Linked DNA regions of Ovis aries. The protein of the gene in region 4 interacts with the protein of the main gene of each other region in a pairwise test. Links are inferred from orthologs where the notes say so. Each region holds a gene or a part of one and is shown on either strand. Other genes may lie near its edges. The genes, in order: EIF3K, VDR, CRABP2 and CCND3.

What was found.
Region 1: the proteins of CCND3 (region 4) and EIF3K interact in a two-hybrid assay, tested with the Homo sapiens proteins (2 studies listed by BioGRID and IntAct). The link is inferred for Ovis aries from reciprocal best matches to the Homo sapiens genes CCND3 and EIF3K.
Region 2: the proteins of CCND3 (region 4) and VDR interact in a two-hybrid assay, tested with the Homo sapiens proteins (2 studies listed by BioGRID and IntAct). The link is inferred for Ovis aries from reciprocal best matches to the Homo sapiens genes CCND3 and VDR.
Region 3: the proteins of CCND3 (region 4) and CRABP2 interact in binary tests that used the Homo sapiens proteins (3 or more experiments, as listed by UniProt). The link is inferred for Ovis aries from reciprocal best matches to the Homo sapiens genes CCND3 and CRABP2.

Annotation. Positions count from the first base shown.
Region 1 is NC_056067.1:47,756,202-47,760,585, reverse strand, and holds the start of EIF3K (eukaryotic translation initiation factor 3 subunit K), read right to left. Parts: upstream 2,988-4,384; 5' UTR 2,914-2,987; coding exon 2,855-2,913; intron 1,958-2,854; coding exon 1,859-1,957; intron 1-1,858. Other genes in the region: MAP4K1 (mitogen-activated protein kinase kinase kinase kinase 1), read left to right, coding at 4,237-4,335. UniProt on the Homo sapiens protein: Component of the eukaryotic translation initiation factor 3 (eIF-3) complex, which is required for several steps in the initiation of protein synthesis.
Region 2 is NC_056056.1:138,708,857-138,712,590, reverse strand, and holds part of VDR (vitamin D3 receptor), read right to left. Parts: intron 2,520-3,734; 5' UTR 2,518-2,519; coding exon 2,372-2,517; intron 1-2,371.
Region 3 is NC_056054.1:106,664,119-106,667,482, forward strand, and holds the end of CRABP2 (cellular retinoic acid-binding protein 2), read right to left. Parts: intron 2,125-3,364; coding exon 1,946-2,124; intron 1,743-1,945; coding exon 1,497-1,742; 3' UTR 1,149-1,496; coding exon of another isoform or gene 1,098-1,148; 3' UTR 709-1,097; downstream 1-708. UniProt on the Homo sapiens protein: Transports retinoic acid to the nucleus. Regulates the access of retinoic acid to the nuclear retinoic acid receptors.
Region 4 is NC_056073.1:15,736,806-15,741,339, reverse strand, and holds the start of CCND3 (G1/S-specific cyclin-D3), read left to right. Parts: upstream 1-1,509; coding exon 1,510-1,707; intron 1,708-2,606; coding exon 2,607-2,822; intron 2,823-4,534. UniProt on the Homo sapiens protein: Regulatory component of the cyclin D3-CDK4 (DC) complex that phosphorylates and inhibits members of the retinoblastoma (RB) protein family including RB1 and regulates the cell-cycle during G(1)/S transition.

The DNA.
Region 1 (4,384 bases), on a different chromosome or scaffold from region 4:
CCCATGGACAAGAGGAGCCTGGCAGGCTACAGCTCACGGGGTTGAAAAAAGAGTTGGACATGACTTAGTGACTAAAACAAGGACGATAACGGTGTGTCCATAAAGCATCTAGAAAGAAGGAACCAAATATCTACCGACAGGATAACAGATAATTAGGACCTGGCTCCACATGGAACACTGCACAGCAATGACAACCAACTGCGGCCACACAGGAGAAGCGTGGAGCTCACAAACCCAGGGCTGAGTGCAAGCTGCCAGACGCAGAAGAGCTCCAGTCGTGCAGCTACTCTTATGTTCAGTTCAAAGCAGGCAAACCTGCGCTAAGCGAATCAGGATGTGTATGTGTGTACATGCGCCTGCAAGCGTGTGGTAAATTCACACAAAGCCAGGCCACGAGAGCACAGGAGTGGTCACCAGGGTCATCAGGTCAGCGTGGTTGGCACAAAACACATGGGGCAAAGGACAGGGTGCTAGCAACACCCATTTTGCAGTTGGGCTGCTGATTACATAGGTGTCCATTTATAACTCCACGTTAAACCATATACTTGCTTTCTGCAGCAGCCTGTATGTGCGCTTTGTTATGATTTTTATTTATTTTTTTTTTTACTTTTTGGTTGCACAGCAAGGCCTGCGGGAGCTTAGTTCCCCAGCCAGGGATCTAACTCGTGTCCCCTGCAGTGGAAGGCTGGAATCTTAACTGCTGGAGTGCAGCCCCTGTAACTAAGTTTTCAAAAACCATCCCTCCTCCTGCCCCTACTTCCTGGCTCCCTAGTCTTGCACATTCTATCCAAAACAGATAAAGAGGTCATACAATTCAATACCAAAAATCCCGCAAAACCCTGTCAGAAACTTCTGAATAGACGCTTTTTTTTTAAAAGAAGACAGAGATCGCCAACAGGCAATTGAGAAGATGCTCAACATCACTAAACATCAGGAAAATGCAAATCAGAATCACACACTTGACAAAATGGCTATCAACAAGAAGACAACAAATAACAAAACACCGGCAAGGATGTGGAGGAGAGAACGCTTGATAGTGTCATGTCAATTGGCACAGCCACCGTGGAAAACAGTAGGGAGGTTCCCTGTAAAATCAAATCTAGGACTACCACATGATCCAGCAATTCCACTCCTGGGTATGTGTGTGTATATAAATATAAGTAAAGAAAACAAACACTAATTTGAAGTGATACAGGCACCCCAGTGTTCTCAGGAGCATTATTTTCAGTAGCCAAGATCTGGAAGCAACCTAAGTGTCCACTGACAAATGAATGGATAAAGAAGATGTGGTACATAGAAACACATACACACAATGGAATATTATTCAGCCATTAAAAAAAAAAAAAGGAAAAAGAATGAAAATTTGCCCTTTCAACAACATGGATGGACCTGGAGAATATTACGCTTAGTGAAGTTAAGTCAGACAGGGAAAGGCAAATACCACATGTTTTCGCTTATATGTAGAATCTAAAGAATAAAATGAAAGCAACAAAACAGAAACAGAGAAGCAAACTAGTGGTTATAGATGGGAATGGGGTGGGGGAGAGGTGAGATAATGGAAGGGGATTAAGGGGTACGAAATATATATGAAATAAGATACAAAGTCACAATGAACAGCACAGGGGCTATGACCCCCATTATATAAGAACTCTAAACGGAGTATAACCTATAAAAATACCCAAACACTATGTTGTACATCTAAAACTAATATAACATTGTAAATCAACTAGATTCCAATTTTTAAAAAAGAGAGAGAAGTCACATCCTGGAGGTTACCCCTCACTCCCACCCCACCCAGTGCTGGGAGTGGCAGGCTGCTGACTATGGGAACCGGGTGGGAATGGAGGCAGATACTCACAGTTTCAGGACAGCCAGGTTGGCTTCCAGATCATAGGCATTTTCCTTGGCCTGTGTCTCCACATAGCGCTCCAGGGTGGCCAGGTTCTCAGGGTTGTACCTAGAGGAGAAACAAGATGAGTGAGCAGAGACAAGAGCTGAGGCCAGTCACTCCCATGGGGTAGGAGTGGGGGCGACTGTAGCCTGCTCCTCCTTCTCTTCCTTTCCTCCCTCCCTCCGTCACTGGCCACTTGCTCTACTCAAATATTGAATCAGCTCTATAATCTCTGATGAAACTTATCCATATCCCTGACCTAAGCCCCAGCTCTAAACCCCATCAGAGCCCTGGGTCTTTTCTGAAAAATGTCTTTTCAATCTCTCAGCCAACCAGCCCTTGCAGCCTGTACATCTGCCCTCCTGGACATCTTTGATATCCACCCCTTTCTCCCATCCCCAAACCCCACTCTGGTGCAGCCCATTCTCTCCTGCCTAGTTTTCCCCATCCTAGCCCCCACCAATCTACCTATGTTTCCCCCATCACCACCTTGACCACTCCTGGCTATCACTGTCTACCGTCCGGTTTATCTGAACTAGAAACTCCATGAAAGCATGGCCAGTGGCTGTCTTTGGTTATCTCTGGTCCGCACCATTGCCCAGAATTCACAGTGTAGATTTCAGTAAACATGTGTTCGATGAATGAAATTAGGGGGGGAAGGGGAGCCACGAAGAGGCACTGAGAGGCTCAGTGAGACTGAGGAGCAGAGAGAAAACAGAGGGGCTGAGAGAGAATAAGTTAAGCAGAGAGGGCGGCCTTAAGGCAATTAAAGCGGACTGAGCGGCAGGCAAGGCCACCTCTTGCCTTTAGGCCTATACAATGCTGTTTTCTTAAACAACTGCTCCAGACTGACTGAAAAATCCCACCCCTGGGCAAGCCCAGGATGCTGACCACCTCTTGCTGACCCCAGAAAACCCTCTCCTCCACGCTGGCCAGAAACGCTCCCTCCGACCGGGCTCAGACCTGTCGATCCCCTTGAGCAACTTGCCCACGTTCGCTCTCATCTGCTCAAACATCGCCATGACTGCTGCCGCCTCCCACACCAGGCCTAAGGCCGAAGACCCTGCCGGCAAAGCGTCCTCGAGGACCGGAAGAGGAAGAGTTGGTGGAAACGGAAACTACGTAATTGTTTTCTCTCCAGCCCCGCGGTGAATCGTGCTTTGGGTCTAGCTGCGGCTGCCACGCTTTCCGGCTGCCGCGTGACTTCTTCCCAGCCGGCGCAGTTAGCGCGTGCGCATACGCTCTACTCGAGCAGAAGCTACGGCGCGAGAAAAGACCTAGTCTAACCAAGTGCGCAGGCGCCTTCTCGCGGCGAGGGGGCGGGACTAAGCTTTTCCCGGGCCTCGCGTATCCAGTTATAGACCCTGGCGCGTGAGCGCGGACTTAGCGGGAAGTAGACTGATCCGTGACGGCGTGCACGGGCTGTGAACTCAAAACTGCTGGGGTTCCATCAGTACAATCCTTTTGGTCCATGGGCATGTGCCGAAGAAGGTGCCCTCTGAGGTCCCCTTGGCCTCTGAGGAAGGATCCTGAGCTTCGCAGTTTTAAGTCGTGAACCTGGTCCCCCACACTTCACCCTAACGCCGAGGGTAGTGGCCCGCAAAGCTGTTGTGCTCAGCTCGGCAGGGGCGGAGAGAGGGGCTCGTGGACCCCGCTAGATCACGCCCAGTCCCCATAGCTCCAGTTCTGTGGGTGAAGGCGAGCGCTCCGCATGTGGCATCCCTAGTTGTGTGTTCAGATACTGCCCACTGCAAGCATGACTGAACATGCATGTGTCATATGTGTATATGCTCTGGGTATATCCACATACGTGCACACGGGTATCCAGGAGTGTGCACGGCGACTGGCCTGCGCGCCGCACGGGGAGTTACCACTAAGTGCCTGTATGTGTCCCGGGTGAACAATGATGTACATACACTACATGGTCATCCCGGTGTAGACCTGCCATCTCCAGGTTGTGGCCCAACACTCAGCGTTCAGCAGAGGTTCAAATGTTTTTAGCCACTGCCCATAACGGGGGAGGGTGAGGGCACCCTCCAGGTCACAATGAAGATAGTTTGCATCTGGTTTACATGCAGCCCAGGGCCCCGGAGGTGGAGGGGGGAGTCCCCTGGGTCCCAAGGCAAGCTGCCCCTCACAGGCTGTCAGGGCCCAGGGGACAGGGGGTGGAGCCGCTGGCTGCACAGCTCTGTGCCGGGGCAGGAAGCGAGAGTGGGGAGGGGGGAGGCCACAGCCGGTGGAGGCAAGGCGGGTGCAGGGCGTGTGGGGAGGGAGGGAGGTGCCAGCATTCGGAGCCCTGAGGCCCTGCTGGCCCCTGGGCGCAGGCCCAGCTCCGGCCCCCAGGAATGGACCTCGTAGACCCTGACATCTTTAACAGGGACCCCCGGGACCACTATGACCTGCTGCAGCGGCTGGGTGGCGGCACCTATGGGGAAGTTTTCAAGGTGAGGAACCCCCCTCCTTCTCCAACACTCTCAAACCTGTGACCTTGGG
Region 2 (3,734 bases), on a different chromosome or scaffold from region 4:
AATGGCTTGCAGGAGTGACTGGCTGGCAATAGTCTCTAATTCTTGACCATAGGTCAATAGAACCAACCAACCCCCATAATCACACTTTGATTTGATTATGAGTCTTAGACTTGCTGAAATGATCACAACTCACTTCTAGAGCAATTTAGTTTGATTAAGAAGTCAATCAAACACTAAATGGTCAAAGGGGCTTATATCCCAGGGGTTAGAATATAGTCAGTGGCTCAACCCTAAGGTAATGCTTTTTCCTTGAGAACTGCTCTTGCAGGGCTGAGAGAGCTTCTGGAGAGCAAGGGCTTGTGCTATCTTTGTGTTCTCAAGGATGCGGTACCCAACGCAGAGAAGGACCTCCTTCTGACAGAGGCCTTCCTACCCAGGATGAGGATTCTGCAGACAGATACAACTGACAATGGAATTCTCAAACAGCTATTTGAAATAGACTAAAGAAGAAGATTATCAAATAGTATATGGATGAAGCAAAGGAGGAGAAGTATGTGGAGGGGAGAGAGGAGGAGAAATTATATGCAGACAGTCTATTCTTGTTCTTTGTGGTAGTTACATTCATAAAGCCATCATGAATGCCGAATCAGCAAATATTGAATCATCGCTCCTAGGAGAATTTGGATTAGGTTCCTGTGAGCCTCCGGTCACAATGCTTTCATCAGTCCATCAGTAAATAACTTTGTTTCATGTGAGGCATCTATTTAAACGCACCTTATTTAACACATGTTGTTGACTCATTAACATTGAACTCATAGCCAACAGCTAAAAAGCCTGTGTCTAAACAAAGCTTGTCTAACATGTCTTTTCTCTGTAAGGCGCCTTTCAGCTTTCACATGCTTAGGAGAACCTGAAAGAATTTCAGCACCATGCTTGGGTGCCACCTTACACAGTGAAATCACTATCAAATGGTACAAAGGTGCAAAAAGGATGGCACTAAATATACCAAGAACAGGACACTTGTTCATAGTGTGAGAATTGAAACAGAAGGCAGAATGTCTGGCTCAGCCTTGGCTGGGAACGTGTACAATGAGAGACAGAATTTTTCTCCACTCTGCACGTGTCCAGAAACACCAGAGCTGCAAGTATTGATCTGGGGATGACAAGTAAAGCTTACCAGGTCGTCAGATTTGCAGATGTGGACTCCACAAACAATGAGGATCAACTGTGCATATTTATAAAACAGAATTCAAGCCAAACAATGGGAGAGATGTTGGCTCTTCAAAAAGTGCAGCCTGGGCTGTCATCAAGGCAGAGGCAGTAAAGTTATAAGGTAGATGGAGGACAGGGAAGCAAGATAAAAGCAGCTTGCTGACCATAACACCAGACCTTGCAGGAGGGAGTAGTGGCCGTCAGTCAGCTCAGACTCAAAGGGGCCTCGGCACGGTGGCTCAAGGCAATCAAACTCCAGGCCTGCCAGTTTCTGCCGCAGAGGGCAGGTGAGTTAGGATTCTAACTCTGATTCACGCTGCCCTCAGTGCCAGTTCAGGGAAATGGATTCCTTGTTCTGGACTTGATTCGCTCTTTCCTCTCTTTGATGGAAAGCCCTGCCATTAGCTTTACTCACCCTCAGCAAGACTATTACATAGAAGCTCATTTTTGGCTGCCTTCTTCCAGGCTCCATTCTGTTTCTCTCTCCAAAATATGCAAAATGCTAACTTCTCCTGGTTTTGAATCCCACCCTGCCATTCCTCACTTCTCTCTCCTCCCTCCCTGGCTCCAGATGGGAATAGCCTTTGTCCAGCTTTTCCAGGACTTTCCCATACAGTCTGCACTGGTAATGCTGGGCCTACATGAAAAGAGAAGAGGCTGCTCGCAGAAAAACTAGCCCTGACCAAACCAGAATGCGTGTGCTTTCCTGCACACTCTGAGGTTAGCTTTCCAACTTTGATAAGCAAGTCGTGGTGCACAGATCAAGTATGGAGGTCCAACTAGGGATGTCATTTCCCTTGTTCCAGGGGATGGTTTGGTTTGGATGGTGGCAGGAGGGGAGAGGGTGGGGGTGCGTGCTCTGAGGCCAAGTTCTTGGGCTTCCTGGAGGCCATGCCAGTCTCCTGGACTAGGAAGCTCTGATCATCAATGGTAGGAGGTTCACTCTGGAAGGACATGGGTGGGTGCAGGGGGCTGTATGTCAAGGGGTGATGGACGGATGGGGGTTCACATGAACTGCTTCCACCCAGGAAGCAGTTGGGCCAGAGGACAAGCTGGAGCTGAGGGCAGAGGAGGAAGAAACAGACCCTGTTGGCCCGGGTGGCTGTGAGAACGGGAGTGTTTCTGGGCCTGGTGAGGAAGGAGACACAGAACACGCAGGGTCTCTTTGCGGGAAACTCTGTTCCTCACCCGCTACTCCTCGCTCTTGCAGGGCACTCACCTGAAGAAGCCTTTGCAACCTTCGCAGGTCATAGCGTTGAAATGGAAGCCGGTGGCTCGGTCCCCGCACACCCCGCAGATCCGGGGCACGTTCCGGTCAAAGTCGCCGGGGTCAGGTAAGGAAGTGCTGGCCGCAGTCGCCTCCATGGCTGCAAGAACAGCAGGCGGGGATGAGGCCGCTGGCAGCCCTTCTGCCAGGAGCTCAGCAAAGTCGAGCTGTCCCCAGGGCCCAGGCCTCAGTGGGATCCTTGGCGCCCTCGCTTTGTGGTTCCGGGTGCCACCAGCTCACCCTCCTGAGGCTGCCGGCCACAAGCAGAAGCGGGTCTCCCCAGACAGGCTGGAGCACGTCTGCAGGGGGCGCTGTGGCGATGCTCATGGCGTGGCCTGGCGTCAAAGCCCGGAGAACCAGAGGCTGGTGCCTACGGGCTGGACTCCTTTGGGTGAGGGCTCCTGCCTCTCTGCGTCCCACTGTCCTCATCTGAAGAGTGTGTTTACTTCACTGGGTGTGAGGAAGGTTCTTGTGAATGATACCCACATCACTGGCCTCAGCTGCACCTCAGCAGTGGACCTGCTGCAGGTCAGAGGCCTCTTTGCCCAGGGTCCCCTCCAAAAGGGAAGGGGGCCTCCAACAGCCTTGTACACAGAGGGACACCTTCAGCCCCTCTATCCTTCAGGGTGAGGGGAAGAGGACAGGTTACCTGCCCATAGCAGACCCTGTCATGCCAGCTCCAAGCAGCCCCACAGCTCAGGACGGACAGCCTGGTGTCCTTGCTGTCCTGGTATCCAGGTTATCAAAGCTTTCCCCCTCCCCCTTCTCCCTTCAATGTAAATTCAACGCATTGTTCTGAACATCCTTCTGAGTAATGTGAGTCGTATAGGAATTAATTTTGTTTTCAGAGGCTGCTTTTATAAATAGGCATTATCATCTAGAGATAGATTTCACACTTGAAGAAGGAGGGAAAAGAGACAGAGAGGACAAAATATAATAGCTCTGGGAGAGTCTTCTCAGGAAGCAGCTGACGAGCCTTCCCTTGGGCAAGTCAGGACCTCAGCTTCACCTGCCGCCTGCAATCCTGCCGGCTACTAGCTCAGGGCTATGTCTGGGGTCCCTCCTGACTGGTGAAAGGTTTCAGATGGGGCTGCCTCCCAGTTTTATCTGAGTCCTCACAAGGGTCACTACAGGTTTAAGTGCCTTGGCCTCAGGGCAGAAGGAAATCAAGTGAGAAAGTCAGTGGCGAGAGGCAAGCGCCCTAGCCCCTCCCACACCACAGTGCCACGTTATCCCACTGAGAGAGGTAGCTTCCGGGGGCTCCTGGGGGCTCTGAGCTTCTTTCCAATGACTAGGCCCTTGACCTGAGCCAAGG
Region 3 (3,364 bases), on a different chromosome or scaffold from region 4:
CATGAATTGCAAACAGGCAAACCAGTTAGGAGCTGCTGCTGATAAACCAGGTGAGCAATGAGAAAGCAGGGTCAAGTGCAGTGGCGTGTGAAAGAGACTCTGATGGAATTTGGGAAGACACAGAACTGAGTGTGGAGGCTCAGGGAGGTGCGGGGGAGGAGGACCTAAGGGGCCTGGAAGATCCAAGAGACGGGGCAGACGGGGCAGAGTGAGAGATCTCAAGGCAGAGATAGGCTTGTCTCAGACACAAAGAGACATGGGCAAGAGCAAGGCCATCCTGTGGGCGGTGATGAGTCATCTGGAGCCATGTGGGAGGCCAAGGCCAGGCCTGGGGTTGCCCACAGATTGGGGTTGGAAGAGAGAGAAGGAACAGTTGGAGGAGGAGGAGGGAGCCATGTCACCATCGCAGGAGAAGGTGGGAGTCAGTTCCTCAGCACCTGCTGAGAGTCAGAGGATGAAGCCTTAGTTACTTTGGAAGCCAGAGCTGGGGACAAAGGAGGCTGGAGGAGGGGGAGTGAAGGTGATGGTCATGGATTCTGCAGCAAAGGAAGGGATGGTGATGAGGAGGGTGGAGGCCAGCTGGTTCCCTCCCCCTTGTGAACTGTGCACCTATGCTGCTGAAACATCAGACTCTCTCACACTGCCTTTCAAAGGCGAAGTTGGACTCAGGCGACTTACCCAGCCCCTTCCCAGTGAGCCAGAGACAGGTTTTATTTCCTAAAACATTTTAATAAAATTAACCAATAAATATTCTACACTGTATGGGCTACAGGGACAGAGTGGAAGACAGAGGGCCGGTCTTTCCTACTTAGGCCCTCGGGTCCCCTTGCAGAAAAGGAGAGAGAGGGTGCTATGGGCTGGTTTGGGGCTAGGACTAGGGCGGGGGTGGGGGGAGTGATCCTGGAATCGGTGATCTGGGTTCCATCCATCGTGTTGATATATGGGAGGAGAGGAGGGGTCAATAAAAGGAGAGCCCCTGCAGAAGGCAACCCAGAACCCCCAGAAGTGACTGGGGTGAGGGGAGAGCTAGCCTAGATGAAGGGGTGGGGCAGGAGGCAGGGAGCATGGGCCGGCGGCGGCTCTGGGGGTGCAGCCGCTTACTCTCGGACATAGACCCTGGTGCACACGATGTCATCCGCCGTCATGGTCTGAAGGGAGAGAAGTCATTGTTAGCCTGGGAGGCCCCTGGTTCCTGTGCTTGGGAGCAGGAAGGTTGCATGGAAATACTCTGCTTGGCCTCCAGGTCCAAACCTACTTCTTGGCTCAGGATGGTTCACAAAATGCCTGGGCATCATGTGATGGAGGACAATAGAGGCCCAGGGTCCATTCTACATCTCCCTCCCCAAGCCAGGAAGATCCCCCCTCCACCCCCTCCAGAGATCTGCTGCGGCCTTTCAGAGCAAGCCCTTTGCTCCACGTGGAAGGGACACCCTTTTGCGTTTGCACAAGGGTACTACCTGGAACACAGACAACCTAGTTCTGCCCCAGCAGCTCCATCAGGAGACAGAGAGACCAGCCACCGTTGTTCTTAAATTTCCTGTACTGTGGAATGTCCTGGAAAATCTCTGAAGGTAGCACTGGGCTTGCTCTGTCTGAGCTTGGAGAAAAGCAGGAAAAAGCCTTACCAGGATCAGCTCTCCATCGTTGGTCAGTTCTCTGGTCCAGGAGGTCTTGGGACCCTCTCCCTTCAACAGCCTCTGCTCGCAGACCATTTTGTTCTCACTCTCCCATTTCACCAGGCTCTGTACGAGAGAGTGGCCAGGTGAGTTGGGCCCACAGCCGGGACAAGGCTGTGAGAGGGACAGAGGAAGCGCCACCTTTCTACCCACCAACACTACCTAGGGACTCTCCCCACTGGAAATGGAGGAGAGACTCGAGGGGAAGATGGGAAAAGATCCACTGGCAAGGGATCCCACGACCCTGGGGACCCCATCCCTGCACGCACCTTACAGGGCCTCCCGTCCACAGTCTGCTCTTCAAACTCCTCTCCGACCTTGAAGTTGATCTCTGTGGTACGCACGGTGGTGGAGGTTTTGATGTAGAAAGTGTCCCCCTCCTGTTTGATCTCCACTGCTGGCTTGGATGCTGCAGCCACGGCGATCTTTCTCAGCATCACATTCACCCCTGCAGGGAGGGGAGAGGATGGACGGTCCAGGTACCTGCCTCACACCCTCCCCAAGAGACAGCAGGAGCAAGCTGGATCATGAGTCGACTGGGAAGAGAGGGAGGCTTCCTGGGTGTCCGAAAAGCGCCTTGAAGGGAGGGCAGGTGGTGCAGCCCTGATGGCTGGTGGGTTCAGCAAGGAGGGGCAGAGAGGCAGTGCCCTCCCTTGGGATTTCTGCTTCTAGCTTCCACCTGGATGAGTCAGCAGCCCTGGATTGGGATCCCCAAGTCTCAGCTTTGCAGTCAGTTCTCCCCGGTCCCTTCAGCCTGCTACAGCTCCCTTTGGCTCCAGTCACCTCACTTTAGGTCCTTTGTCCACCTTGCTTGAGACCATCTGCTGGGGTGGGCTCATCAGAATCACTGTGTCCACACCCCGACTCATCTGCAGGGCAGACCCTCCTCAGCCAGCCCTCACTACTCATGTCCTGAAGTAGGGGCCACTTCCCTCTGTGCCTACTCACCTCCCCTGTCTGGTGGCCTTGATTTGCTGAGTCTCTGTCCCTCCAGAATGAGAAGGAACAGGGATTCTCAACAGGGGAGGGGGTGTGGCAGCTGTGTCCCCCTACAGAATGGTCTGTAGCCTGGGGAAACCACAGGCTGTGAAATAAGATCCATTAGGCCATGATTTCCACCTGGCTCACCCTCCCTTCAGGCTGGGTGACCCTGGGCTAATGGCTTAACCTCTCTAAGGCTTAGATTTCTCAGTTGTAAAATGGAGACAACAGCTTATTCAAGAGCCCATCAAATGGGACAATGTGTGTTTAGGCTGGAGCACACACAGTGCCAGGCACATCTGTAAGTTTTCAAAGGAAATGGCAACCCACTCTAGTGTTCTTGCCTGGAGAATCCTAGGGACAGAGGAGCCTGTTGGGTGCTGTCTATGGGGTCACACAGAGTCAGACATGACTGACGTGACTTAGCAGCAGCAGCAGCAGCAGCTACTCTTATTGTTGTTGTTTTTACTGATTAAAGGATGGCAAAGAAAAAGCCAGAGTTGGGGCTCAAAGTTCCATGCATCAGACTCCTTCCTGTTCACCTGCCCTCCTGGAAGACATCTACGTCCCTCTCCCCTCAAGGGACAGAAAGGGACACTCCCCTCCCCTCCCGTGATGTACCCCGACTCCAGGATCACCCACCCTACTTCAGGGCCCAGATCTTCTCATTCAGCTGAGCCCCTGTGCCTGTCCCCCTGTCCTTTCCC
Region 4 (4,534 bases):
GATGGTGAAGGACAGGGAAGCCTGGCATGCTGCAGTCCATGGGGTCTCAAAGAGTTGGATATGACTTAGTGACTGAAGGACAACAATCTGGATGGTGAAACTGCCAGTACTTACTCTTTACTTTTTTGTGTGACATTGGTATTTTCTGTCTTCTACAATGCATTGAATATTTCCGTGATATGCAAACAGCAAAAAATTTATTGTATAAAAAAGAACAATTCACTGGGATAATGCTTAGCGCAGGACTGACCTCTTTCTATAGAGTGTCATTTCTCTAGTAATTAACTTCCTTAGTGTCTCACCTCCTTGGAGGACCCCAGGAAAGGCAGGGATCCCCATGGCCTCCTGCCATTTGGAGCATTACTGGAGGCTTGTGGTGTGTTTGCCTCCTGGTCACGCGGAATCCAGCTCTGGAAACGCTGCAAAGTCCCAAAGCTTGGGAGGTAAAAGTGGCGCCTGAAAGATTTTATACAATCTGAGCAAGAAACTCCTCTAGAAAGGAGGCAGTTTCTCCGCCCATCATTTCCTCAAACGGAAACTAAGGCCAACGTCAGGGTTTGTCCAAGGCCACACACCCAACTTAATGACAGACAAGGTGAGGCCTTGAATCCATGACCCTTCCGCCCTGTTGTAGTTCTCAAGCGTGCGGATTTAGGACTGTCTCTTCTCACACTTTAGTGTGTACAGGAATCACCAGGGATCTGGTTAAAGGCAGATTTTGATCCAGTAGGTCAGGGGATGGGCCTGAGGTTCTGCTTTTCTGACCCGCTCTCAGGCTGGTTCGGGGATCAGTTTAAGTAGCCACGGGGTAGAGCAGAGATTCTGGGGGCAGACCGTCGGCTTCCCAATCCTAGCTCTGCCGCAGACGAACTATTATTATAGTTACTGCTTCAGTTTCCTCAACTGCAAAATCAGTATAAGACCTAACCCACAGCTTCTTCATTAAGATTTTAATAAGTGCTCAGACCAGTCTCCCCTAAGATCTAGCTATTTTATTATTATTTACTTTTCCTAGAGCAAGCAGCGGGTGAAGTAGAGTTTGACGAATGAATGAATAACCTTTCGGGGCGCCTGGAGTCGGGAGATGCAAAAATGGAAGGGCTCGGAGGTGGGGGCGGGGGGCGAGGAGAGGCCCACCTCCAAAGCACACTCCTCTAGCACCGGGTGGTCAAAAGGATCCGGAGCGCCCGGAAGCCGGCGGCCCGCGCCCAGCCGACCAATGCGGTCGCCCGGGGGAGGGGGAGCGCCCGCCAGCCCTTTCCGTCCGGGCGCCGGAGGCCCCGCCCCCGGAGCGTCGCGACGTCTGAGCATTCCACGGTTGCTACTCGGTCTCGAGGGGCGGGGCGCCTGTCAGGGAAGCGGCGCGCGCGCGGCGGCGGGGGCGGGCTGAGGCTCGGCCGCGCAGTGCCAGCGACAGCGCCACAGTCCCGCGCCCCGCGCTCTCCGGCCCGCCGCCTGCGTTCTGGCTCCCGAGCCCGCACTCCCGCCCTGCCCGCGCGCTGCCCGAGGATGGAGCTGCTGTGCTGCGAGGGCACTCGGCACGCGCCCCGGGCCGGGCCGGACCCGCGGCTGCTAGGGGACCAGCGTGTCCTGCAGAGCTTGCTCCGCCTGGAGGAGCGCTACGTGCCCCGCGCCTCTTACTTCCAGTGTGTGCAGAGGGAGATCAAGCCGCACATGCGGAAGATGCTGGCGTACTGGATGCTGGAGGTACCGCCTGGGCGGGTCTCCCCTCCCCCGTCACCCCCGCGTCCCGGGCTCCGGACATCCCGGGGCCGCCCTGTCGGGACATCCTGGTCCTCAGCAACAATCAGCAAGATGTTTCTGTGGCGCAGATCCCCGGGGCCTGGACTTTTCACTCGCGCGCCCTTAGCCGGCTGCCTCGGTGCTGTCTTTTTCTTGCCCTTCTCTGACCCTGACCGCCAGGCATTTGGCACCCCCAAATAACCCTGTCTTCGGGCGGGGAAAGCGGGGCGAGGGCCACCCTCTCCCCTCTGACTTCTCTCAAAAGCCTCCCCCCGCCCCCACCGCACGCCCGGTCTTCTCTGGAGAGCGCGCCTGGAAAACCCTGGGCTCGGCCGCCCCCGCCGCAGAGCTGGTTCCTTGTGTGTGTCGCGGGGGTTCTGGCGGGGAAGCCGGTGGGGGTGGCGCGCTGTTCCGGCCGTCAGGGAAATGGAAAGTGCGGGAGGCAGCCGCTGGAGTCTCCTCCCTTCCTTTTGGGTGTGTGCACTGGGTGGCAGTAATGGGGGTAAGGTCCCAGTTCTCTGGCTTCTATGGGTGACTCTTCCGAACCCCTCTCCCTTGGTACGGGGGGTGCAGATCAGCCTCAGTTTGGATTCCTGAAGGAAGGGAGCCTCTGGCGTATCCCGCTCCGCCCCCCCCCCCCACTCCCACCCCCGGGGAAAGGAGGCACCGCAGAGGAAGTGGGAGGGTGTCACCTTGGGGAAGGCGCATCCTGCGTGTTAGTCCTTGTCACTGTGAGTACACCTACCCCCTCCCGTGTCTTGCTCCCCATTCCACTTCCCTTCAGCGCACCGCACCCCTCGCCTTTAGTTGCTGCTGCGTTTCCTAAGCCTCTGCCCCCGAAGTGACTGTGCGCCCTCCCCCAGGTGTGTGAGGAGCAGCGCTGTGAAGAGGAAGTCTTCCCCCTGGCCATGAACTACCTGGATCGCTACCTGTCCTGCGTCCCCACCCGAAAGGCGCAGTTGCAGCTCCTGGGTGCGGTCTGCATGCTGCTGGCCTCCAAGCTGCGCGAGACAACGCCCCTGACCATCGAGAAGCTGTGCATCTACACCGACCATTCTGTCTCCCCGCGCCAGCTGCGGGTGCGTGCATACCCTCCCCACCTGCCAGCACCCCCTGCCTCCTTCCTAACGTACCAGGATGGGGGAAGCTGAGACCTCGGGAGGCTTTCTGCCCCTGTGCAGGGTAGCAGCTTTTTTTCTTTTTCTTTTGACAAAAGATGGGACAGTGTGGTGTGATGGTCAGGGTGGCCCCAGTTCAGGCTTGCACTCCCAGCATGAACCAGATCCCCTGTCTTGACCTCCAGGGGGTGCCACTCCTTCATGGTCTTTCCCCCAGATAGCAACAAGTCAAACTGCATGTCTACACTCACCAGAACTTTGCCTCTGGGTTTACACAGCCACCAGGAGTTATTTATTGGCAGCAGCAGGGCATGCCTGTGCACCCCCACTGGAGTGGGGGAGTGGAACGTGCTTCACGTGGGGGAAGGGGCCGCCCGGGTTGAATCTTGTCTCCCAGTGTGTGGACTTTGTGATCAAAAAGTCTCCCAGAGCTGATTAAAGCCAGGCCCCAGCTGCTGTAAGGAAGGGCCGAGGAGTTCCATCCCACTTTGCTTCCTTCCTTCCTTTTATATCCCAGGAGAACCAGCTCCTTCCCTCATTCTCCATTCCCTAGTCTCACCCTGAGAAATTGCTCTCAGAAGCAGCTGCTTCAGGCCTGGTGGAATCATCTTTTCCCCTTTAGCCAAAGGCAAGTGCTGAGGCACAGACTGGGGCTGAACTGCAGCTGCTTCCGATGTGATAATGATGCCCTCTCCCCTGGCCCACCCACCCTGACCAAGGTCTTTCATAACCCTGTGGGGAGCTGCTGTCACTCCTGTGGTTTGGGAAGTGGCTCCCTGGGCCTCTTGCTGGGAACTTGGGCTGGGCTCTTCCCGAGGCAGGGCAGGGGAGTCATGGTTCTCTTTCCCCATTGAGCCTGGAGAGGAGGTGGGGAGTTGCTTGGATTTGGAAGAGGTTATTTGGGAGCGTGCAGATCATCTCTCGGGGGACCCAGGGGAGAGGGGTGAGCTGGCACCTTCCTCCATCTTGCTCTACAGCAGTCGAGTCTTCTCTTGACCCGAGAGGCGTCTCTGGGCCCCATCTCCCGGGGAGGAGGGCAGCGTGCTGGCTGCTGTGATTGGCTGGCCAGGAAAGCCAGGGTACTGGGGCCCCTGAGTGCTGCTTGTCGGGGAACGGGATTCCTCTTCCTGCCAAGTAGCTCTCGGATATGGGAGTAGGAGGCCAGAGCTGGGAATCTGGGAGGCTCCACAGCTCTTTGTGATGAATCTGGTAGTTTGGGGCAAGTCTGAAGGTGGAGCTGGTTTCCAGGGCTAGAGAGCAAGATGTTTCTGAAGGAGTTTGGGCTGGTGGAAGGGGACTTCATTTTTGTGAAAAGATGAGCATGGGATGTGTGCCTTTATGTGAGGGCAGTTTTTCAGAACAGGCCAAAAGTCCTCTCCTCCCACTCCCCCTGCCTGAGCTGGGGGTGGAGCGTGCCGATCGATGACTTCCTAGAAGGTCAGAGTTGGAAGGGACATCAGAGAGCTCCGGTCAGTCCAAATAATCCTTGTGCCGCAAAGAAGGTGGGGGCCCAGAGGAGGAAGGAAGGGTCCTGGCTTGGTGCTGCACGGAGGGTGTGTTTGAGGCCTCAGGTGGCCTCAGAGGTTAGGGTTTTGATGGAAGCTGCTAGGGGTGTGTTCTCTGTCATGTGAGGACTGAGATTCTCAGGAGATACTCTGCCCAGATGGAGGGTA